Sus scrofa: one gene and its partners. The main gene of each other region encodes a partner of the protein of the gene in region 2 in a complex. Links are inferred from orthologs where the notes say so. Each region holds a gene or a part of one and is shown on either strand. Other genes may lie near its edges. The genes, in order: INSC, GPSM2, FRMPD4 and NUMA1.

Region 1 (5,656 bases), on a different chromosome or scaffold from region 2:
TGGAATCCGCGACTTCATGGTTCCTAGTCAGATTCGTTAACCACTGCACCACGATGGGAACTCCTGACTTCAGATATGTTAAGATAGCTCTTAAGGTAGTATCTTAGACTTGTCCAAGGTGCCATATGTAGGCTAAAGGGAACCAAAAAGCGGGCCTAAGAGGCTGCAAGTCGGGCCAGGGGGTGCATGTGTGTGTATAAGCATGTTTGACACATGGAGGTGCCTGTTGCACATGTGTCACTGTCCTCAGGTGTACGTGCTGAAAGTGCATGAGTGTTTGCACAGCTGTCCTGAGACAGCATGAGTGGGAGTGGCCTGAGAGGGTGGAAGGTGTGCACACATGAGCAGCTGTGAGCATGTGGGTGTGGGCCCCCCGGTTGAGTGTTTGTGGGTGGGCATGGCTTTGCAGTCTGCTCATCCCCTTGTCCTCCTGCCCCCTCCTGGCATGACAAAGGGGCCATCTCTGTGCTGTCTCCCTGACCCTGGCCAGCCAGCAGGGCTTGCTCAGAACCCCACTCACTCTAGGGTTGACTCTGAGCTCCTGCCCTGCTCAGAGTCCTGAGAAACCAAAGCCACATGACCCACAGAGAAGACACCCCAGTTGGGGACAAGTCAGGTCACCCTAGAAAGTTTGCGTTCAGATAACATTCCTTACCCGCCAACTTCTGCCTTCATCAGCTCAGTCACATGCATCCAGCCATTGATACACACTTGCTCAGCCCTGGTGGAGCCTGCCTACCACACACACCTGAGTCTGCACTTCCAAGAATACAGACACAGCCCACACGGACAGCGTGTGCCACCCTGACACACATGCCACCTGGGGGCACACTCCAGGCCCCCCTACACTAAGTCCACCAGACACACACTGACACACTCTCACCCATATTCACTCTCTGGGACATATGCTAGAAACTTCCATATGCTCAGGTACTGGCCCAGACACACTCCCTCCCACTAAAGTTCACCCCCACTCACAAGCACTCACACTGACACACTTACACCTAAATCCGAATAGTCCCCAAGCATGCTCTGTCCCAGACTAGGCTGGGCCCAGAATGCAGTCCAGGAGCGCGCCTACTTACTCTGACGGAGCGAGAGAGCCTGCGAGCAGCTGCGTGCAGCGGCCAGGCCGGCGGTGGCAGGCGCAGCTGGGGCGCCAGAGGCTGTAAGCAAGTGACCCGCCCGGCCGGCCCAGCCCGAGGGCCGCCCGCTGCCCCGCGCCTCCGCCCCGCTCTGCCCCCGCCCGCCAGCAACAGCGCGCTCCGGGCCAAGCCTCTGTCCCGCGTCAGCCACCAATGCCTGGAGTCTCAGCCGGCCGCGAAGCTATTTTGGTGCCCCTGGCAGCGGAGACCTCGCGCTCTTGGCTGTGGGGAGCGCTGGAATGGGGACGCGGTCAGGTCTAATTAGAGACCTGGCTCACTAGGAGCCTCGGAGCCGTCCTGGCGGGGGTGCCCACATGTGCCCCACATGCCAACATCTGGAGAGGGAAGGGAATGCGCCGATCCTTTCCCTTGGAGCTGAAACAAAACAAGGAGGGGTTTGGGTGCAGTTCACAAGCCCTGCGGGGGAAGCCTCTGAACTTTGAGCCGCCCCCCAAACTCCTGAATTCCGCTTGATTTATTCACCGCAGGTGCTTTCCTTTGGAACCCGAGCTGCTCACATAAGACGGCCTACCTGACAAAAAGGACAGAAGATGCTTGTAGGGACTCCTTCTAACTTGAGGCACATCAAACTTTCCCTCTGGACTTCTTTGTATCAGATGGCCAAGTCTAGAGAGGAAGTCTGATTCCTACCCAAAAGCTCAGGAATGTTGCATTCTTGAGCTAGAAGGAGGCTGCAAGGTCATTCCATCCAATTCCCTCCACCCTGCCATGAATTCCGCAGGGGGCCTGGAGGGCCTCTACCCACTCTTGGGGATCTCCAAGGAAGAGCAGACCTTAGCCTCCCTTGGGCACTGTCCCCAATCTTGAATCAGTTCATCAGCAGGAAGTTCTCCTTGGCGTCTAACCTAAATCCCTCCTGTGCAAACTCCTCCTGTGCAATATTCTTGCACATTGTGTTGCAGGACAGGAAAACCAGCTGCATCTCCAAGACACAATGACCACTCCAAAGTCCCATCTCAGCCTCTCTTCCTTGATGATAAAGTCCTTGTTCCCTTTTTCAGGCCTTGGCTAAAAAGGATGCCTGCTTCCTGGCCCTGGACACATTGCAATTCCTGACATTAAATCAACTGCCTCAGGCATTCCCATCATGGCTCAGCAAAAACAAATCTGACTAGCATCCATGAGGGCACAAGTTCAATCCATGGCCTCGCTCAGTGGGTTAAGGATTCAGCATTGCCATGAGCTGTGATATAGGTTGCAGATGTGGCTCGGATCCCGAGTTGCTGTGGCTGTGGCATAGGCTGGCAGCTACAGCTCAGATTCTACCCCTAGTCTGGGAACATCCATATGCCTCCGGTACAGCCCTAAAAAGACAAAAACAAACAAACAAACAAACAAAACTGCTTCAGCTTTCCGGGGACCTCAGGTTCTATAGGAGCCCAAGGCATTCCCTTCAGACAAGCCAGCTTGACTGCAGCCTCCATCCATTCATCTGCTCCCTAGACTCTTGAGAGGGGCTTCAGTTTCTACCTCAGCAAAGACTGTCTCAGGGCCTGGAAACACAGTTTGGGCCCCCAGCACCTACCTGGCTGGGCATTAACACTGAAGCTATAGCCTTCCTCAAATAGGTAAAGTTTCCAGAATCTTCAAGTCTATTTCTGGTAAGACAGGTAGTGTTTAAAAAAAAAACATCTGTATAGCCTGGACATTTTCCTCAAAGAAAACTGACTTTGTATCCTGCCTCTTTGCTTTTTTTTTTTTTTTTTTTTTTTTTTTTTTGCTTTTTAGGACAACACCCGTGGCATACAGCAGTTTCCAGGCTAGGGGTCAAATTAGAGCTAGAATTAGCTACAGGCACCTGCACCAGCACCACAGCAATGGCAGATCCGAGCCGTGTCTGCGACCTCCACCACAGCTCACGTTAACACGGGATCCTTAACCCATTGAGCAAGTTCAGGAATCGAACCTACAACCTCATGGTTCCTAGTCGGATTTGTTTCCACTGCGCTACAATGGGAACTCTGTGCCACTACTACTTTCTAGCTGTGTGACCTTGGACAAGTCACTTAATTTCTCTGAGGCTCAGTTTTTCAGTGGGGATCATAATAACCTCGGCCTAGCTAATACATTACTGAAAGAATAACATGAGACTGGGAATATAAAGGTTTCTGGAAAGGTGTATTTTTCAGTATGATTGAGATAGAATGAGGCTTAGATCATAAGTACAGTCAGTATTAGCAAAAAAGCCTCAAGGATCTTTCATTTCCAGGTCCAAATTCGGTGCCTGAGTTTCAGGACAAGACAGGAACAGACTTGGTTTGCTAGATGGTCCCTTAGGACACTTGGTATGGATGTCCTCCTCCCTGCATTCATGAATACACTCACACACTCATGCATGTACACACGCCCACGTGCACACACATACCCATCCATGTTCCCAGATACATACAGTACAGCACAGCCTCCTGGGCTCTTGTCGGCCCCATAGGCCCCAGCCGCTTATACCCTTGCTGGCCATCTCTCCATTCCCAGGGGGCCTCCTCATGGCTGCAGCAAATCCAAGTCTCCTTACAGAAGCCCCTGCAGGCAACTCCTATCTCCTTGCCCATCCTGGGCCATGGCCCCAGCAAGGCCTGCGATCCCAGGCAAAGGTGGAAGAGACCTTCTCCAAGGCAGCTCAGAGCTGAGGCTGTGGAGGGAGCTCAGAGGTGGAGCATCCTCCCCCTCGACCCCCTCCCCTCTGCCTGCCTGGCTTCCCAGCACTGTCCTGCTTAATTCTTAATGGAAATTCCATCCCCAGCACCGGCCCTGGCTGGCTCAGAGAGTCCAGGCTTGGGCCAACAGCAGACTCCACCCAGAGACAGGAGGCCTGCCTGGCCCTATAAACACAGACACACTCATGTTCACATACATGAGTACGCACGCAGCAGACACACGTGCCCTGTCCTTCACAAACTCAGAGAGGCTCACCCAGAGACAGACACAGAAAGATAATACGCACTATAATCACTGGCATTTATTGCATCATGCAAAGCTTTTCGTAGGTATCAACTTCCCAAATCCTCAAGATGCCACTGGGTTCGAGGACGACTTAGCTCTTAGCCCTAATTTGCATGCGAGCAAACTGAGGCACAGGGAGGTGAAGCAACTCGCATTAGGCAACTAGTATTAATAGCCTAACACACGAGCACAGAAACCACACTCAGGGGCATTTTGCATTGTCATTTTGCCACCATAGTAACTTGTGGTGGAAGTTATTCCTACTCCCATTATACAGACAAGGAAAGTGGAGGCCAGATGGTTTAAATCACCACCTGTGGCCTCAGCTTGCGAGATGAAGGGAGGTCCTACACAGATATGCATGGGAGCTCTCATGGGGGAACAGGGAGACACACAGATAAAGAAACACATGCATGGAGGGGCACAACCACAGAAAGTTTCCCCTACCAAACTAGAAGCCACAGGAATGGTCCAGATCTGCGTCAGGCAAAGGTCCCCTCTAGCCTAACCCTATGTTCTTCTTCCCTCTCAAATGGCCCATTCCCGCTCCACTGACTTCACAGGTTACTTCAGGAAGGACACACTAGATCTAACTGGAGGGCAGATTTCAGGTTTACAGTCAGCCAGCCTCAGCTCCAAATCCAGTTTGCCCAGCATAGCCCACATGGTCACTGGAAGAAGTCTCAGATGCTCTTTGGAAGGGATCATGAATGATGCAGGTTCAAAGACTCTGGGCACCGTCAGGGGCTGGCCGAGGAGAGCTCCTAGCCCCGAGGCCCAGATGAGGCTGCACAGGACCCGCAGGACATGTCATGGCACATGAGCCCGGGCCTTGGCAGAACAGAGCATGGATTGCCAGAGGGAGCTGGAGCCACACTGCCAAGAGGTGGCAAGACTGTGGAGGGAGGGCATGGACCCATGACGGGTCAGGGCCCTGATAAAAGACAGAGCCCTGGGCACTGGGGGAATAGGCCGGCAAAAGAAGAGAACAGAAGGATTTAGCACTCCGGGAATTAATCTACTGCTGGAAGTCTCTAGGCTAAGCTGGACATCTCCCAGCAGGGGCCGTGCTGGCCCTCAGCTTCCTCCCCAGCAGCCCCAGTAGAGAATGCCCAGGAAGGCCTACTATAGCCAGGGCGATCTCTATTGTCTCTCACGGTTTCCCACCCCATCCCCATCCCAGAATTCCCCAACTGTTCCTGCTGTCACAAGCCCCTCCATTCTGTGACCCAAGGACAGCTCAGCATGGCAGCCTTGAAGGCATTTGCATTAGAAAGGAGTTTTTCCAGACTTAACTCCTACAATTGCCTCCGGAGTCCTGTGGTTAGGCAGTGGCTCTAAGAGGGGGAGACACCCTGAGCCTAAGAATTTGCATGTCCAAGAGGTTCCAGGAGATAAGGATGGTGCTGGCCTAGGACTCTTGCTCTGAGAACCACTGCTTTGTGGAATAAGAGAAAATCAGAGGTCATTCCAGCTCAAAACAAAAAGCTCACCCTAACTCAGAGTGCAAATGGTTTCTTCTGAAAGGCGCCTAAAGGGAGAATTTCCAT
Region 2 (5,139 bases):
TGAAGAAGCACAACAGCAACTTTGGCAAAGGATACCTACTACAGCTTAGGATTAGAAACCAAAGTATTGGTGCTTTTTCTCCTGGATATATTTATAGTAAAATAATTTTTCTGGCTCTTAAGGTTCAAACTTTGAGCACTATGAGAATTATAATTTCTGTAAATCTTCAAAGCATTGCTTTCTAACATGAAGTTTCTTGACACTTGGGGGTCTCAAAGAAGTGTGCCTTGTGCATCAGAATATTTTTTTCCTCTGTCTTTCTAAAATATAGGTGATCCTGTGGTGGTAAGAAGAGGAAGGTGTGTGTGTTGTATGTGTGTTATGTATGTGTGTGTGTTAAAAGACTGAGTGTGTGCGCATGTACAGACACAAGAGTCTGAGATAGAGATGTGTGGTAGGAGGGGTTGATGTACTGGTTGCATAGATCACCTGGATAGAGAAGAGTATTTATTAGTTATGGGACTTCACCTACCACAGGTCCCTATTCTCCCCAATTCTCAGGAGGTCGGTAAGTCTGCTATGACAAAGAATCATTTAGGAAACACTGCTTTAGGTTCTCTCATTGGTAAAGTAGGTTGCTCTGGTTGGGCCAATTAAAATGAGCTCTCTTGATGAAAAATTAATCAGTGGATCTAAGAAAGAAATGGAGAATTTTATTCAAGCCCAACCGAGTGTTCTAACCCAGGAACTGCTCTCAGAAAGCTCTGGGAATTGTTCTGACCACTTGAGGTCAAAGCACAGTTATAGAAGTTTTTGAAACAGAGGACCATCCATTAGGTGACATAAGAGTGACATCTGACACAATCCATCCCTACACATGCAGAGCAAATAGCACAGGATTAAGAAGGAAAGTTCTCTCCTAAGGAGTTGTGACCCTTGGTGACATTAAGAAGGAACGTTGTCTCCTAAGGAGGTCTGGTTAACTCAGATACCCAACATGCTAAAGGGGCGGAAGGAGGCCCTTTAAATTTTTCCTATCTTGCCATAAAATAAATTTTATTTCATTAGCTCCATATAGAGATATTTAGCTATCCTATACCAAAGACCTTTTTGGTTCAGAGGCATTTGACGATGCAAATTAGCTTTTGCTGTAAATAGTAGTTTTTATCAATAATATATATATACTTCAATTATAGAGGCAGCTATTCTAAGCAAGAGTAGCCATGGTTCACATTTAAATTATTTTCTGGAAGTTAAGAACACTGTGGTGCAGTTGCAATGTTGTAAATGTTTGTCTTATATAATTTTATAGAATGGAAGCTTCTTGCCTAGAACTGGCCTTGGAAGGGGAGCGTCTGTGCAAATCAGGAGACTGCCGTGCTGGTGTGTCATTCTTTGAAGCTGCAGTTCAAGTTGGAACTGAAGACCTAAAAACCCTTAGTGCTATTTACAGCCAGCTGGGCAATGCTTATTTCTATTTGCATGATTATGCCAAAGCATTAGAATACCATCATCATGATTTAACTCTTGCGAGGTAATTAATGTCAGCTTTTTCATACTCTTTCTCCCTAAATTAACTGTCACTTTAAAAGACACTTTCATTCAATTAAAAAAAAAAAAAAAAGCTAACAATGCATTTTGTGAGTTCTGATTCATTGGCATTGCATTGTAAAACTAATCTTTAGGCTGAACAGTTTAATTAAAAGCAGATCACTAGTGGTGAAATGACCCTAAAGTTTAATTAAATGAATGCAAATTAAATTTAAATATAGAAATGTAAGTTTAAAATTTTTGTTTAAAGTAGGTTTCAAGGCTAATGGGTCTCTCTTACTTTTAGCATGTCATTTGTTCTCTAGGGAAAACTGGATTCTGGCTGGTTAATATCTTCACACACTATCTTCTTTTCTTCTTTTCCCCAGGACTATTGGAGACCGGTTGGGGGAAGCCAAAGCTAGTGGCAATCTGGGAAACACCTTAAAGGTTCTTGGGAATTTTGATGAAGCGGTGGTTTGTTGTCAGCGACACTTAGATATTTCCAGAGAGCTAAATGACAAGGTAATGAGGCAGTATTAGATGGTAGGCCAGAAAGTTTCATTGAAATTGCTTTGCATTTCAGTCCCATTTAATCATTCTGTAGTTTATCTAAAAGTTAATGCCAGAAAGAAAGTATTTGTAGAAAAATGGAAGAAAAAGAGAGATGTAATAAAAATTTTTTGAGATGAGAAAAAGGAAATAGTGACAAGTCCTTCTTTCACAGGTCATATGGATGGCTAATGTAAACATTTCTTTCTCTTGACCGTCAAATCAAGGATATTATAAATAAATATATGTGATAAGCATTATAATTCCTGGCCTCTGGGTTCAAAATGTAAACTACTCATATCTTCATCTAGGTAGGAGAAGCAAGAGCACTTTACAATCTTGGAAATGTGTATCATGCCAAAGGGAAAAGCTTTGGCTGCCCTGGTCCTCAGGACGTAGGAGACTTTCCAGAAGAAGTCAGAAACGCTCTGCAGGCAGCAGTGGATTATTATGAGTGAGTAGCACTGATGCAGCCATGTGGCCCACCCAAGCCAGTAGTTAAGTTTTTAAGTCTGGCAAGGGCTGTAAAGTATGGACTAGCAAGTAAACCATCAAAATGTTTTCAAAATGTTACAATGTTATATTAGTAGCAAACCCCTTCTTCTGCAGGAAAACTTTAAACTGCAGACCAGCGCCACTTAGTGGTACAAATGAGAAATATCACTGGTTAGTCTCAGTTATTTAAGACTAAGTTTCATCTTTTATCTATACAATTTCGTAAGACTTCTTAGCTATAGGGGTCTAATGACATTAACACTGTCCTGGACTCTGGGCAGAAACCTACACATACGCACATATATTTTCTTTCTTTTTCTTTTTTTCTTTTTTTGTCTTTTTAGGGCTGCATCTGCAACATATGGAGATTCCCAGGCTAGGGGTCTAATTGGAGCTGTAGCCGCCAGCCTACGCTAGAGCCACAGCAATGTCAGATCCAAGCTGCATCTGCGATCTATGCCACAGCTCACAACAATGCCGGATCCTTAACACTCTGAGCGAGGTCAGGGATCGAACCTGTGTTTTCATGGATGCTAGTTAGATTTGTTTTTGCTGAGCCATGATGGGAATTCCACAATTATTCCACTTTAGTAACTGAATTTAGTTCCAGAAAGACTTCTGACCATTTACAGATGAACTCTACCCAAAGAATAAAGGAGCAACAGAAATTGACATAACATTGTAAATCAGCTGTATCTTTAAAACATGGTACATTATGGCTGTACGCTTATTTAAATTTTTTTTCCTGATACAAACTGTTAGATTTGGGAGTTCCTGCTGTGGCACAGTGGGTTCATGATCCAGCTTGTCTCTGTGGGTTAAGGATCCGGTGTTGTTGCACCTGTGATGTAGATTTTGGCAACCTGACTTGGGAACTTCCACATGCTGCAGATGCAGCCAAAGCAGGAAAAACAAAAGTTTTATATTTGTAAGTAAGATCAATCAATGTTTTTCTCAAATGTATTTTTTCTCACTTTTTGTTATCATGTAGGGAAAACCTATCACTGGTGACTGCTTTGGGTGACCGAGCAGCCCAAGGACGTGCCTTTGGAAATCTTGGAAACACACATTACCTCCTTGGCAACTTCCGGGATGCAGTCATAGCTCATGAGCAGGTACAGTGCAGGGCTTTGGAGCCAGGTCATTTTCTCCATCAGAATTTTGAACCATGATTAGATTATTCTTTAGTTTTTTGTGTATTTTTTTAATAGTTATATCTAATTAAAATTTTCTGTTTCAGCGTCTCCTTATTGCAAAAGAATTTGGAGATAAAGCAGCTGAAAGAAGAGCCTATAGCAACCTTGGAAATGCATATATATTTCTTGGTGAATTTGAAACTGCCTCTGAATACTACAAGTTAGTCAAACATTTCTGTAGATAAATGTAAAATGACTAGTTATGCAATCCACCCGGTAAATCATAGGCTTTAGATTTAAAGCCTTTTTGCTGCATATGAGCAGCAGGACCTTGGGCTTTCTGAGTCCTGATTTTCTCAGCTGTAACAGAAGATACCCATACTTCACTTTGGGGATTGTTGTGAGGGTTGGATGAAAGAATATATTAAGCACTTATTTAGCACAGTACCTGGTACACGGTGCTTAGTACATATTGCTGTACCTAAGATTTAATAGCAGCAGTATGGCCTCTTTACGTTTTAATTAATTTTTATCTTTAATTGTTTTAAAATGAGATTCTAAACTTTTAAAGTTTTATGAACTTGTTTAGCATATGTGGTGTGTATATTTATATCCAACCCCCCTCCAATTATAGTTTGGGTAAGAAAGTTTCCACCAGTGATCACTGAATTTTCCCCATCATCCTACCATCATATCGAGTTCTTCTGCCACCTTCTCTGCCCATGTTTGCTCCTTGCAACAAGCTGAGTTAGCACTCCCAGCTTCTTGGCAGGCAGGGTCTTTCTAACCTGTCAGTAGGTGGGAAAAGTACATGATAGCCAAGTTGAGACTGCTTCATATTGCCTGCTCTATGCTTTCTAGGTTGTTCAGTTTTCCCTAATTACCAGGAATTGAAGGCTTTTACAGACCTTAGACAAAAGCCAGTTTGACTGAACCAAAGACACAGTGACTGATTTATATTTTGTGGTTTAAAAAAATCCAATGTGAGAGAGTTCTGAAAAGTTTATCATCTAAACAAAGGTAAAATTGCTTTAGGTCCGTCTAACTAGAATGTCATCCCATCCTTCAACTAATGGTTGATACTCGTTGGTTGGCTAGTTAGATGTGAAGTATCCTTTTTTTTTATTTTTTTTTTTTTTTTTTTTTTTTTTATTTATTTTTTTTTTTTTTTTTTTTTTTGTTTTCTTATTTCTTCCGTCCACGTATGAGTTCCGTAGTCGAATCAGAGCTGTAGCCACCAGCCAGAGCACAGCAATGCGGATCGACCGCGTCTGCACCTACACCACAGCTCACGGCAACGCGATCGTTACCCACTGAGCAAGGAGACCCGCAACTCATGTCCTAGTCGGATTCGTTAACCACTGCGCCACGACGGGAACTCCTGAAGTATCCTTTTAAATAAAATACATCACTGTACAAAGAGTATATAATTTTAAAAATAAAAACCAAAAGACATAGAACAGAAATAAATGATGTATTAAATACT
Region 3 (5,792 bases), on a different chromosome or scaffold from region 2:
GGTCAAAGTCTAGATGCCATGCGGATTGCAACACAACTGTACTTGTCTTAGAGATTGTGTTTTTACAAGAACGGAAATGCAGCTCTAGAAACAATTCAAAGCCTGCCTGGCCTTTTTAACCAATCCCCAGTCTCTCCTACTCACATCAAAAGGCTTGCAGATGCTTTAAAAAAAAAAAAAAAAAAAAAAATAGGTGGATTTGGAAAGTAAAAACCCTTCTTGGAGAAATGTGAGATATAAATGTTCTACCTGGTCTCTAGGAACCCAGAACCAAGTCATGGTATGCAAATTTGAGGCAGATAATTCTTATCAGGAGGAGGGGGAGGGGAGGAGAGGGAGGAGAGAGAGAGGAGGAGGAGGAGGGGAAGGATAAACCGCTCTTTGGAACTGAGGTGAATGAAAAATCTTAAAGGTTTTCCCCACAAATATCAATACAAGCTTTAGCCATCTGAGCAGGTAACCTTAACTTATTCTATCTGCCAGAAATACAATTTGTATCCAACCATGCTTCTATAAACTAGTAGGCTTTGCATCACTGTATCTATCTCATGGCTAAAAATTTGAAAGAAAAGCTCTAAGATCTCTGCATCTGTCTGTCTTTTTATGTATGTATGTGACAGATGTGGGATATTTTTCTACCTCTGGATGGCACAGCTAAAATTAATTTGTAAGGAGCTCTATTTAATAGGCTTAAAAACAAAACAAATTATATACATCAAGTATATGCTCAGAAATATAAAAACCAGCACTAGTGTTTTTCAAGTTCATGTGATCTAGGACAATCTGTGATAAATTAAAGCTCATTTAAGTTTGTTGGTTTCATTAAAACAGGCATGTCTTTAGCGTTATTACCATTAACTAGAATACTTTTATCCTCCCTAGGTTAACCAAAGTCAAATAAGGTCATATAATCTCTGTTACATAATTTGTCAGCAGGAAAGGTAACTTAAGATGACAGCTGGCTATTCAATGTCTCATGAAATTTTCATGAGTAATCTAAACATAATTGTTAAGAACAAGCCAATTAAAGAAGTATTAGTAAGATAAAAGTTTGTAAATGTACTTTTCAGCAATAATCTTGCTTTATGGCATGTCTTCTTAAAAACAGTTTCCATAGTTACTGTGGAGGTATGGAGGTTCCTTTAAAAACTAAAAACAGAGTTATCACGTGGTCAGCAATCCCACTCCTGGGCATCTAGACAAAGAAAACTCTTAATTCAAAAAGATACATGTTACCTTTTAAAATTGCACTCACAAAATCAAATACCTCAAAAAGATACATGCACCCCCAAGGTTCAAAGCAGCACTACTTACAATAGCCAAGAGGTGGAAACAACCGAAATGTCCATTGACAGATGAATGGATAAAGAGAAATGTCCATTGACAGATGAATGGATAAAGATGTGGTACATATCTACAATGAAATACTACCCAGCCATATAAAAGAACAAAATAATGCCATTTGCAACAACATGGATGCAACTAGAGATAATCATACAAAGTGAAGTAAGTCAGACAAAAACAAGTATCATATGATATCATTTATATGTGGAATATAAAAAATGATATAAATGAACTTATTTACAAAATAGAAACAGACTCATATATAGAAAACAAACTTAAGGTTACCAAAGGGGAAAGGGGTGGGGAAGGAATAAATTAGGAGTTTGGGATTAACAGGCACACACGACTATACATAAAATAGATAAACAACAAGGTCTGACTGGCACAGGGAACTATATTCAGTATCTTGTAATAACGAAAAATGGAAAAGAATCCAAAAAAGAATATATAGCATATATATGTATATACATATATAATATCTATATACATATCTATAATATCTATATACATATCTATATCTCTATATAAAACTGAGTCACTTGCTATACTCCAGAAACTAACACAACATTGTAAACCAACTATACTTGAATGGAAAGGAAAAGAGGAAAAAATAGTTTCCAAAATCTTTTTGGCAACTGAAAATTTTAAAGTTATACTGAGATTAGTTAAATGATGGCTATTCAATGAATATCTAGATCATTTCCAAGTAAGTTAAAATAGTGAAACGTTAATTACTGAGTATAGGTTTATCCACTTTGGGCTTTCTTTTACAGAGGAACTAAAGCTATTGGATTCTTTCAGTAAACATGTTTGTGCCACAATGAAAAATTACTAAGAGGAAGAATATACTTCTGGAAATTGTGAAACATATTTATAAATTTGCCAATCCACAGAAGGCTAGTGTAACAGTCCACGCTGCTTACTTCTTAGTTTTCACTAGGAATAAAGGATTCCAAGGATTAAGAATTCTAATAAACATATGTGATGTAGTTAAAACTACTTGGAACTAATGGAGGTGAGAGGAAACAACTGTGACCCTGTAAACTGAACCGGGTCCCAAATTCTTCTGGTTTCCTCAAACATCTGGCTACGACTCTCCAAACTCGTGCTTCCAGTTTTCCCCCACCCTTCTGATGAGGCATCCCTGAAAACAACGGCTGCCCTTGAACCTCCTCGGAAGGGGTGATACCACGTCCTTCTCACTACCCAGATGGCAGCCAGATTTTAGGGGACTGAACCTAGGTACGCATTCCCCATTTACAGAGGGCTTCCCCAGACCCCTGGAACTACCCACACACCAGCTGGAGATGTGACATTCAAAGTGACTAGGGAGGGTCCTCCCCGGAAGAGATGGCATCTTGAGGGGGACAGCTCAAGATCTTCATCTCCGGGATGAGATCGCCTCTTCACCTCGGGATTCCTTGTGCCTTCCCGCTACTGGCTTTTTCTCTCTGTCACTGCGTGGGGAGGCAATGCTCCTTAACGCTGACAGTGATCGCTGCTAATGTCATAGCTACACAGCGGAAGTCCCTGGACTTTCTTGCTAAGGAGGCTGAGACAACAGAATTGCTTTTGATTACTTGTTGGCTGAACAAGGAGGACTCTGTGCCATAGCTAATACCCCCTGCAGTACCTGGATCAACACCTCTCATACCGTAGCAAATAGAGGAAATCAACAAACGAGCCGCTTGGCTAAAACAGGTTGATGGCCCTTCAGGTGCATTCTTTGATTTATCTGACACTAACTGGTTTGATCCACGGGGCCCCGGTGAAGGAGTGTACTTTACTCTCTTGGTACCATCCTCCTAAGAGTCATCACGGTCGACCCCCTGGTGTGCTACGTTCTCTCAAGGTCTCAAATGCATGTTCACGGCCATCAGCAGTGCATCAGATGGTCTCACTGAGCTTAGAGAAACAGAAACAAGATAAAACACGAGGTGAGTAGCAAAAATAATTCTTATGCAGATCAGACATCATAACCTACAAGTTTCACAATGAGACAAGAACAACTTAACTCTATTGGCAACTGAAAGTGGCACTAATACTAATTTTTTGGTCAGTATCTCACCTATGAGAAGATGATCAAAAAGGGGGAATTGTTGAATTAATTAAACAAAGAGGCCATTAGACTGAGGTGACTCTAATGCCTTGGCAACCGAGGTAAGCAAACCAAAATCTAAGCCTAAGGCTCTTAAGTTCCTCAAGGGTATGAAATTAAAATGCTAAGGAGAACCAATCACAAACAGCCAACTAGGCTCTAAGCAACAGCCAATAAATACTTTCTTTTCTCTGCGTCCCCTTTTCACTCTATAAAAGAGCTCCTGTTGGCGGAGTACTCCTAATCATTTCCAGGTTGGCACTGCCCTATTCCAGTTGATTTTTGCTCAAATAAACTCTTTAAAAATTTTAATATGCCTCAGTTTATCTTTTAACAATCCTAATAATATCTCTTCACCTATTTGTCTCTTTTTTCTCAGGAGTGCTGTAAAGTCAAAACTTTGCATATAACTTTACAGTCGGCCCTCCATGTCCACAGTTCCTTGTCTGTAGAATCAACCAAGTGCAGATCATGCAGCACTGTAGTATGCATTTACTGGGGAAAATCCAGTATAAGAAAGACCCACATAATTCAAACCCCTATTATTCAAGGGTCAACTGTATATCCACAATTAATACCAAGAAATAAAATCATTAAACGTCTTTAAGTTGTTTGAGAGTCCCATGGCAGAGATTTAACTGTGACTAGAGAATCTTGTAAATTTTTCAATTAAAAAAAAAAACCAGCAGTGAAAGATTAATCTGTTTTCATGCCCAAGAATAACCAGGAATTTGAGCTTTACAGAAAGCCCTTAAAGCTTATCCCAGCTCACCTGCAGCAATGAAGAAAACATCTATTCCTAAGTTTCTTGAGGAAAAACCCAACTGACATCTAAAACTTTTATCTCTTTGGTGAGTTCATTTATCATCAGGTTTCAAGAACCTCATAAGATGCTTCCAAGACAGAAACATTTCTCCAAGACAATTCATCTCTTTTAAATATCATTAAAGTGTGACTGGCACAGAATCTTAAGGAGCTGACATCCAGAGGGAGAAGAACATATTACTAATGGCTACTCAGGTGCCAACTTACTCTAAGTTGCCAACTCTCTTTCCCAGGAAAACCAAGTATATCTAAGCAAAAGGAATTTTGATGATAATCAGGAGACATTCTCTGGCATCAAAAAAAGCTGCCTGGCAAGAGATGACTCAGGATTGCAAATGTCACCTGAGTCATAGAATGGCTTCAACTATGCAGTCCAGATACACCCTAAACAAAGGTGAACATCAGGCCAAGATCCCATAGAAAATTATCCACCAAGAAGTTCTTCTCCTTACAACCAGACTGCAAAAGATAAGTAACCCAAGAAATGGTAACCATGTGTGATCATTTGCTTAGAACAGACAGTCAAGAAACATGGCAGAAAACAATAAAGAGAAAGAGAAAACAATAAATTGAGAGATTATTCTTTTGAAAACACATGCCTAGTGTTGTAGGCATGTATGTGTTCTTAATTTTACTTTGTCCTGAGGAGAATCCCTGTTGCATTTAATTGCCAATTTCACTTATTTAAGTCAATAATAATTCTTGGAGAGACAAAAGACCTGTACTCTGAAAACCTTAAGATGTGGCTGAAAGAAATCAAAGATGACACAAACAGATGGAAAGATACACCATGATCTTGGATTGGAAGAATCAATATTGTCAAAATGACTACATTACCCAAGGCAATCTACAGATGCAATGAAATCCCTATCAAATTACTGATGGCATTTTTCACAGAACAAGAACAAAAAATGTTTCAATTTGTATGGAAACACAAAAGACCTCAAATAGCCAATCCTCAGAAAAGAAAAAAAGAGGAATCAGACACCCTGACTTCAGACTATACAATAAAAGCTATGGTCATCAAAATAGTATGGTACTGGTACAAAATTGGAAATATAGATCAATAGAACAGGATATAAAGCCCAAAAATAAATCCATGCACCTACAGTCAACTAATATATGACAAAGGAGGCAAGAATATACGATGGAGAAAAGACACTCCATTCAATAAGTGGTGCTGAGAAAACTGGACAGCTACATGTAAAAGAATGAAATTAGAATAATCTTCTAACGCATGCACAAAAATAAACTCAAAATGGAGTAAAGAACTAAATATAAGACCTAATTCTATAAAACCTTTAAAGGAAAACATACACAGAACACTCTCTGGCATAAACCACAGCAATATCTTTTCGGATACACCTCCTAGAATAATGAAAATAAAAACAAAAATAAATCAATGGGACCTAATTAAACTCAAACGCTTTTGCACAGCAAAGGAAACCATGAACAAAGCAAAAAGACAATCCAAAGAATGGGAGAAAAATCTTTGCAAATGAAGCGACTCACGAGGAATTAATCT
Region 4 (5,139 bases), on a different chromosome or scaffold from region 2:
CACGGGCTTCTCCCCCGGTGAGGGGGGACGAGGCGCTCGCGCTAACGAGAGCACCGGAGGCCCAGGGGCGCAGAGGGACCAACTCCCCCTCTCCGCGCTGCTCTCTGCGGGTGCAGCTGAGCCGGGGGCCTCACCTGGGCAGTGAGTTTCTGCCTCTCCTCCTGGAAACGCTGCCTCTCCTCCAGGACCTTGACCTTGGCACCCTCGTACTTGGCAGTCATCACCTCCAGCTCCCGGGCAGTGCTCTGCGCTTCGCGCTGCATCTCAGCCAGACGGGTCTCAGCGTCAGCACGCACAGCGGCCAGCTCTTGACCATACTTCTCCCGGGCCTGGTCCAGCTCCACTTCCAGAAACTGCCGGCCGAGGCTGGCCCGCTCGCCCAGCCCCCGGTTCTCCTCCGCCAGCAGGCCGTGAGCCTTCTTCAGCATGCTCAGCTGCTCCGCGTAGCTGGCCTTCTCTGCCCGCAGCTGCTGGGCCGCTCGCTCCTGCTCTGCCACCTTCTGCCGCAGGGGCACCAGCTCCCCAAGCTCGCGCTGAGCCCGCATCAGCTCCGCCCGCAGCCCCCCGGCGGCCTGCTTGCTCTGCTCCAGCTCCTCCCGATGGCGTTTCTCAGCGGCTGCCTGCTCGGCCTGCAGCTGCTGGCACAGGTGCTTGGCGGGCAGCAGCTCGCTCAGCAGGGCCTGCGTGCTGGTGTGCTCGAGCTGCAGGGCGGAGAGGGCCTGCTCCTTCTGGAAGAACTTCTCCTGCCAGGCCTTTAACTCTTGCCCCAGCTCTTCCGCTCGCTCTGCCTGCGAGGCCAGCTCCTGCCGCAGGCTCTCGGAAGCCACCCGCTGCTTCTCTGCCTCCTCCCGGAGGGTCTGCACCTCCTCCCGCAGAGCCGAGCTTCGTTCCGCAGCCCTGGCGCTGCTGCTGGCTGTCTCCGCCTGGAGCAGGCGCAGCCTCTCCTCAAGCTTCTGGCTCTTCTCCGACTCAGCGGCAACCAGCCGCTTCAACTCCTTGCTCTCGCCCTCCTTCTCCAGCACTTGGCGGTTCAGGATGGACACCTCCTCCTCCAGGCTGCTGATGAGGCTGCTCTTCCGCTCGGCCTCCTGCTGGCCCCGCGTGACCTGGGCCTTCCACTCCTCCTCGGCCGTGCTGTGCTCCTGGGCCTTGGCGCGGAGGGCGGCCAGCTCCCTCTGGGCTGAGGCTAAGGCGTCCTGAGTGCTCCCCAGCTCCTGGGCCTTCTGCTCCAACTGGCCCCGCAGCGTCTCCAGAGCGCTGGCCCGCTCGGCGTGGGAGGCGCGCTCGGCCTCAAGGCTGCGCTCCAGGCTGGAGGCCTTCTCCTGATGCTCGCGGACCTGCTGCTCCAGGCTGCCCACCTCTGCCCGCAGGACCTCCAGCTCAGGGCCTTTTTGCTCGGTCTTTCCAGTGGCCTCGGACTGGGCTCCCAACCCAGGAGCATTTTCTCGGCCGGCGGTCCCTGGACACTGCGGGGGCGCCTCCTGTTTCTCGGCCAGCTGTTCCCTCAGGTGCTCCACGGTTTGCCGAAGGTCCTTCAGCGCTGCCCCCTGGGCCGCCTCCTGCTCGCGAAGCTGGGCCAGCTCCTGGTCCTTGCCTTCCTTTTCCCTCAGGGCGTGGGCCAGTGCCTCCTGCAGGGCGGCAAACTCCACCCGCTGCTCATTGAGGGCGTTCTGCAGCCGCATCTCAAGCTCCGCCTTGGCGGCCTTCTCCAGGGCAAGGTCGGCCTGAGCCCGGCCCCGCTCCTGGGTCAGCCGCGCCACCTCCCTCTCCTGCTGCCCACGCTCCTCCTGCTGCTGCCCCTGGCTCTCCATCAGCGCAGCCCGCAGCCTCTCCAGCTCGCTGCCCATCTGCTCTGCCTCTCGCTCCATGGCCTGCAGGGCCGCCTGCGTGCTGCAGAAGGGGCGGCCCTTCTGCTCTTCCAGCCACTCTGACTCTCTGTCCCCTGCCCTGGGCGGCTCCTGGAGCAGCTCCCGCGAGGCCGGCTCCTGCTGCTCGCCTGCCTTGCGCACCAAGGCCTCCAGGCGGGCCACCTCCTTGCTGGTGGCCGCCATCTTCTCCTGCAGAGCGGAGAGGTCGTCTGCGAGCTTCTGGGCCCGGGCCTCCTTCTCCTGGACCTGCTGCAGAGCCCTGGCCAGGCTGGCGTGGAGCTGAGCGAGCTCGCTCTGCTGGCGGCTTATCTGGAGCTCGCTGTGGGCCTCGATCCCTGCCACCTTCTCCTTGGCCTCCTGCAGCTCCTGGCGGGCCTTCTCGCACTCCTCCTTCAGAGTCAGCAGCTGTTCCTGGACCATGGCGCCGTACTGCGCCTCCTCCTGCTGGCTGTCCTCGTAGCGCTCCCGCCAGGTAGCCACCTCCTTGGCGAGCTGCTCACACTCGCTCTCAGCCTCGCGCCGGGAGGCCAGGGCCTCGGCCAGCTCCTGCCGCAGGGCTTCTGTCTTGGCCTGATGGGCCTCCCCGAGCTGTTGCAATCGGGCCTCCAGCCCCTTGCGCCCAGCCTTCTCTTCTTCCAGCTCCTTCTGTTCCTGCTTGCGCTGCTCGGCCAGGCTCCGGGTCTCGGCCTCCAGCCTGCAGATACAGCGCTGCTGCTCCTCCAGGGCGCCCGCGGCCCTGCGCGTCTCCTCCTCCAGGCGGCCCTGGCCGACCTTCAAGGACTCCTCGAGGGCCCGGACCTGCTCCTGGACCATCTTCTCGTTCTCAGTCGCTTTCTGCTGCTCAGACCTCAGCTGGGCCTTCAGTTCCGCCACCTGGGCCTGGGCCTCACACTGCTCCTGGCGGGCCGCCTCCACGCAGGCGTGGAGCTCCTCCACCTTCTGGCTCAGCTCGGCCTTCTCCCGCTGGGCCTGTGCCACCGAGGTCTGGGCGCCGTCTCGGGCCTCACTGGCAACCTGAAGCTGCTGCTGCAGGACCTCCAGCGCAGCAGCCTTCTCCTTCTCCAGCGCCTCCAGCTGCTGGCGGGCTGCGGCCCGCTCCTCGGCCACGGCGGCCAGTTGTTGGGCGTGCTCTCGCCGGGCGGCCTCCTGCTCCTTAGCAGCCTCCTCCCACTGCCGCTCCTTCTGCTTCAGGCTGCTGCTCAGCTGCTCCACCTGCTGGCGGAGGCCCTGCGAGGCCTGCTCCTGCTGCTGGAGGGAGTGTGCCAGCTGCGCCTGCTCTGTCTGGGCCTGCTGCTTCAGGCTGGCCAGCTCCTGATCCCGCTGCTGGAGGGCAGCGTTGAGGGCCTCGAGCTCAGAGGTCAGCGCGGCCGCCTGGGCAGACAGCCGGGCCCCCTGCGCCTGAGACGCCTCCTCCAGTTCCTCCTTGGCCCGGCTGAGGCTGGACAGGGAGCCCTGGAGCTCGGCAATCAGGCCGGCCAGCTGCTGCTTCTCCTCCTCAAAGTGGCTCCGCTCAGCAAGTAGCTTGGCCTCCCGCTGGCTCCGCTCGGTCTCCAGCGCCTCCACCCTGGCCTGGAGCTGAGTGTTATCTGCAGCCAGAGTGGCTGCCTCTTGCTTGAGAGTTTCCAGCTGGTGAGATAAAGAGACAAGTGGGCATCAGCATGACTCCTCAGTCCCCTTGGCCCCTCTGGGGACTGAGATGGTCCAGGAACCTGAACATGATGAACATGGCTCCACAGCACCCCAGCAGAGCCCCCGCCTGCACCCCAGCACAAAGATGCCCCCACATGCACCTCAGCACACACAGCCCCCCGCCTGCACCCCAGCACAAAGACACCCCCACATGCACCCCAGCACAAAGAGCCCCCACCTGCACCCCAGCACAAAGACACCCCACATGCACCCCAGCACAGAGCCCCCGCCTGCACCCCAGCACAAAGACACCCCCACGTGCACCCCAGCACACAGACCCCCTCACCCTACCTGCAAGATGTCGCCCAGCACCTCACCCTTCTCCCGGGGTGGGTTCTCCCGCAACTGGGCCAAATGTTCTTCCAGCTGTGAGAGTTTTCCCTGAAGGATTTCATTCTTCTCCTCGAGGCATTTCTGGGAGTAAACAAGAGCCCCCGTGTGAATAGACGTGCAAGAAGCGGCAGACGAGCACACAAGCCCCAAGAACAGCAATAGAATCTGGGACCCTATCGCCTGGCTACCAGGACCACCTCTGGCCCTCACCCGGGGGAACGGGCAGAAAGCAAGGATCTAGGTCCACGGGAGACCCGACTTCCCAGTCCTGGTGCCAGAGGAGGATTAAGTCAGATGACCTGCTGCTGCTTCTTCTCCAAGGCTGCCGAGTTTATTTCAAATTTCCTCACTGTACACCCTTCCTCTGCCACGCTCTGGCTCTCAGAGTATCCAAACCCCCACCAGCTTCAAAACATCCTGACCATCTGAGCATCAACGGCAGCACGGCCACAGCAACCCCATCCCCTTTGTCCCACTGGTCACTAAGCGCCTACAATGACCAGGCCCCGTGCTGGCTGCGTCTCTGACGTCCTAAGCCACCCATCGGACTTGGGAGGTAGCAACTACAAGCCCTTCTTTACAGAGAAAGCATCTGAAGCCGGATGTTAGGGGCCCTGCCCCAGGGCTACGTGGTTCTTAGTGAGCGGCAGAGCTGAGCTCTTCACAGCAAAAATAACCACAGCGAAGTCACTGAAGGCGCACCAGCGGGCAATGCGCATCAAGTGCTCGTATGCACTGGCTTACCACGGACACCGAGGAAGCTGCCCAGGCTTTTTCCCATTTTAGGGAAAGGTGCTTAGAGAGAAAGAGGGCAAGAAACTTGTGCAAGGTCTCACCTTGTGAACAGCGGACAAAACAAGACTTGCGGGTGGACCAGCCTGAGGCCACTAGAGCACGCTACCAAGCCCCAAAGCGAGGGCAGGGTAGTCCCCAAAGGCCCCATGCGGTAGAGCGTACACGGAACCGGCTCCGAGCGTGGCTCAGATGGTGGCCCTGACTCCCGAAGGCAGGGTTACCTTGTCCTGCAGAGCTGCGCCGAGCTCCTTCTCCAGCTGGGCCTGCTTCTCCACCCACTCCCGAGAGGCCTTGCTGTGCTCGTCCGTCAGGTCATTGAGAGCCCCCTGGAGCTGCTGCAGGTGACTGGCAAACTCCCGCAGCTGAGAGAGACGAGAGGGAACCCCCGTCACCCAGGGGAAAAACTGCCAACACCACTGCTGACGCCCACTGATGTCCAGGGGCTGGATGGCTC

Evidence for each region.
Region 1: the proteins of GPSM2 (region 2) and INSC are in contact, whole or in part, in a crystal structure (PDB 3RO3), measured with the Mus musculus proteins. The link is inferred for Sus scrofa from reciprocal best matches to the Homo sapiens genes GPSM2 and INSC. Residues at the interface, in NP_083798.2 of Mus musculus: Asn210, Tyr213, Leu214, Phe218, Arg242, Ser246, Asn247, Asn250, Ile253, Phe254, Tyr265, Gln283, Tyr286, Ser287, Asn290, Thr291, Thr293, Leu294, Arg323, Trp326, Ser327, Asn330; in XP_006507722.1 of Mus musculus: Val72, Asp73, Ser74, Val75, Arg77, Trp78, Met79, Asp81, Leu82, Lys83, Leu84, Met85, Thr86, Glu87.
Region 3: the proteins of GPSM2 (region 2) and FRMPD4 are in contact, whole or in part, in a crystal structure (PDB 4WND), measured with the Homo sapiens proteins. The link is inferred for Sus scrofa from reciprocal best matches to the Homo sapiens genes GPSM2 and FRMPD4. Residues at the interface, in NP_001307967.1 of Homo sapiens: Leu25, Ala28, Leu29, Glu32, Asp57, Lys59, Thr60, Ser62, Ala63, Ile64, Ser66, Gln67, Asn70, Phe73, Tyr74, His85, Asp88, Ala92, Gly100, Lys103, Asn107, Asn110, Thr111, Lys113, His128, Arg143, Tyr146, Asn147, Asn150, His153; in NP_055543.2 of Homo sapiens: Gln988, Leu989, Leu990, His991, Ser992, His994, Met995, Glu996, Met997, Glu998, Pro999, Glu1000, Thr1001, Met1002, Glu1003, Thr1004, Lys1005, Ser1006, Val1007, Thr1008, Asp1009, Tyr1010, Phe1011, Ser1012.
Region 4: the proteins of GPSM2 (region 2) and NUMA1 are in contact, whole or in part, in a crystal structure (PDB 6HC2), measured with the Homo sapiens proteins. The link is inferred for Sus scrofa from reciprocal best matches to the Homo sapiens genes GPSM2 and NUMA1. Residues at the interface, in NP_001307967.1 of Homo sapiens: Ala28, Leu29, Glu32, Cys35, Lys36, Phe47, Lys59, Thr60, Ser62, Ala63, Ile64, Ser66, Gln67, Asn70, Ala71, Phe73, Asn110, Lys113, Tyr146, His153, Lys157, Pro164, Gln165, Arg203, Gly206, Asn207, Asn210, Tyr213, Leu214, Arg228; in NP_006176.2 of Homo sapiens: Ser1901, Phe1902, Tyr1903, Met1904, Gly1905, Thr1906, Cys1907, Gln1908, Asp1909, Glu1910, Pro1911, Glu1912, Leu1914, Asp1916, Trp1917, Asn1918, Arg1919, Ile1920, Ala1921, Leu1923.

Annotation. Positions count from the first base shown.
Region 1 is NC_010444.4:44,011,523-44,017,178, forward strand, and holds the start of INSC (protein inscuteable homolog), read right to left. Parts: upstream 3,745-5,656; 5' UTR 3,652-3,744; coding exon 3,556-3,651; intron 1,276-3,555; exon of another isoform or gene 1,086-1,275; intron 1-1,085. UniProt on the Homo sapiens protein: May function as an adapter linking the Par3 complex to the GPSM1/GPSM2 complex. Involved in spindle orientation during mitosis. May regulate cell proliferation and differentiation in the developing nervous system.
Region 2 is NC_010446.5:111,137,438-111,142,576, reverse strand, and holds part of GPSM2 (G-protein-signaling modulator 2), read left to right. Parts: intron 1-1,252; coding exon 1,253-1,474; intron 1,475-1,859; coding exon 1,860-1,995; intron 1,996-2,333; coding exon 2,334-2,476; intron 2,477-3,508; coding exon 3,509-3,632; intron 3,633-3,757; coding exon 3,758-3,873; intron 3,874-5,139. UniProt on the Homo sapiens protein: Plays an important role in mitotic spindle pole organization via its interaction with NUMA1. Required for cortical dynein-dynactin complex recruitment during metaphase. Plays a role in metaphase spindle orientation.
Region 3 is NC_010461.5:8,622,542-8,628,333, reverse strand, and holds the start of FRMPD4 (FERM and PDZ domain-containing protein 4), read right to left. Parts: upstream 3,296-5,792; 5' UTR 3,091-3,295; exon of another isoform or gene 2,978-3,090; intron 1-2,977. UniProt on the Homo sapiens protein: Positive regulator of dendritic spine morphogenesis and density. Required for the maintenance of excitatory synaptic transmission. Binds phosphatidylinositol 4,5-bisphosphate.
Region 4 is NC_010451.4:6,599,811-6,604,949, forward strand, and holds part of NUMA1 (nuclear mitotic apparatus protein 1), read right to left. Parts: intron 5,048-5,139; coding exon 4,907-5,047; intron 3,972-4,906; coding exon 3,849-3,971; intron 3,495-3,848; coding exon 135-3,494; intron 1-134. UniProt on the Homo sapiens protein: Microtubule (MT)-binding protein that plays a role in the formation and maintenance of the spindle poles and the alignement and the segregation of chromosomes during mitotic cell division.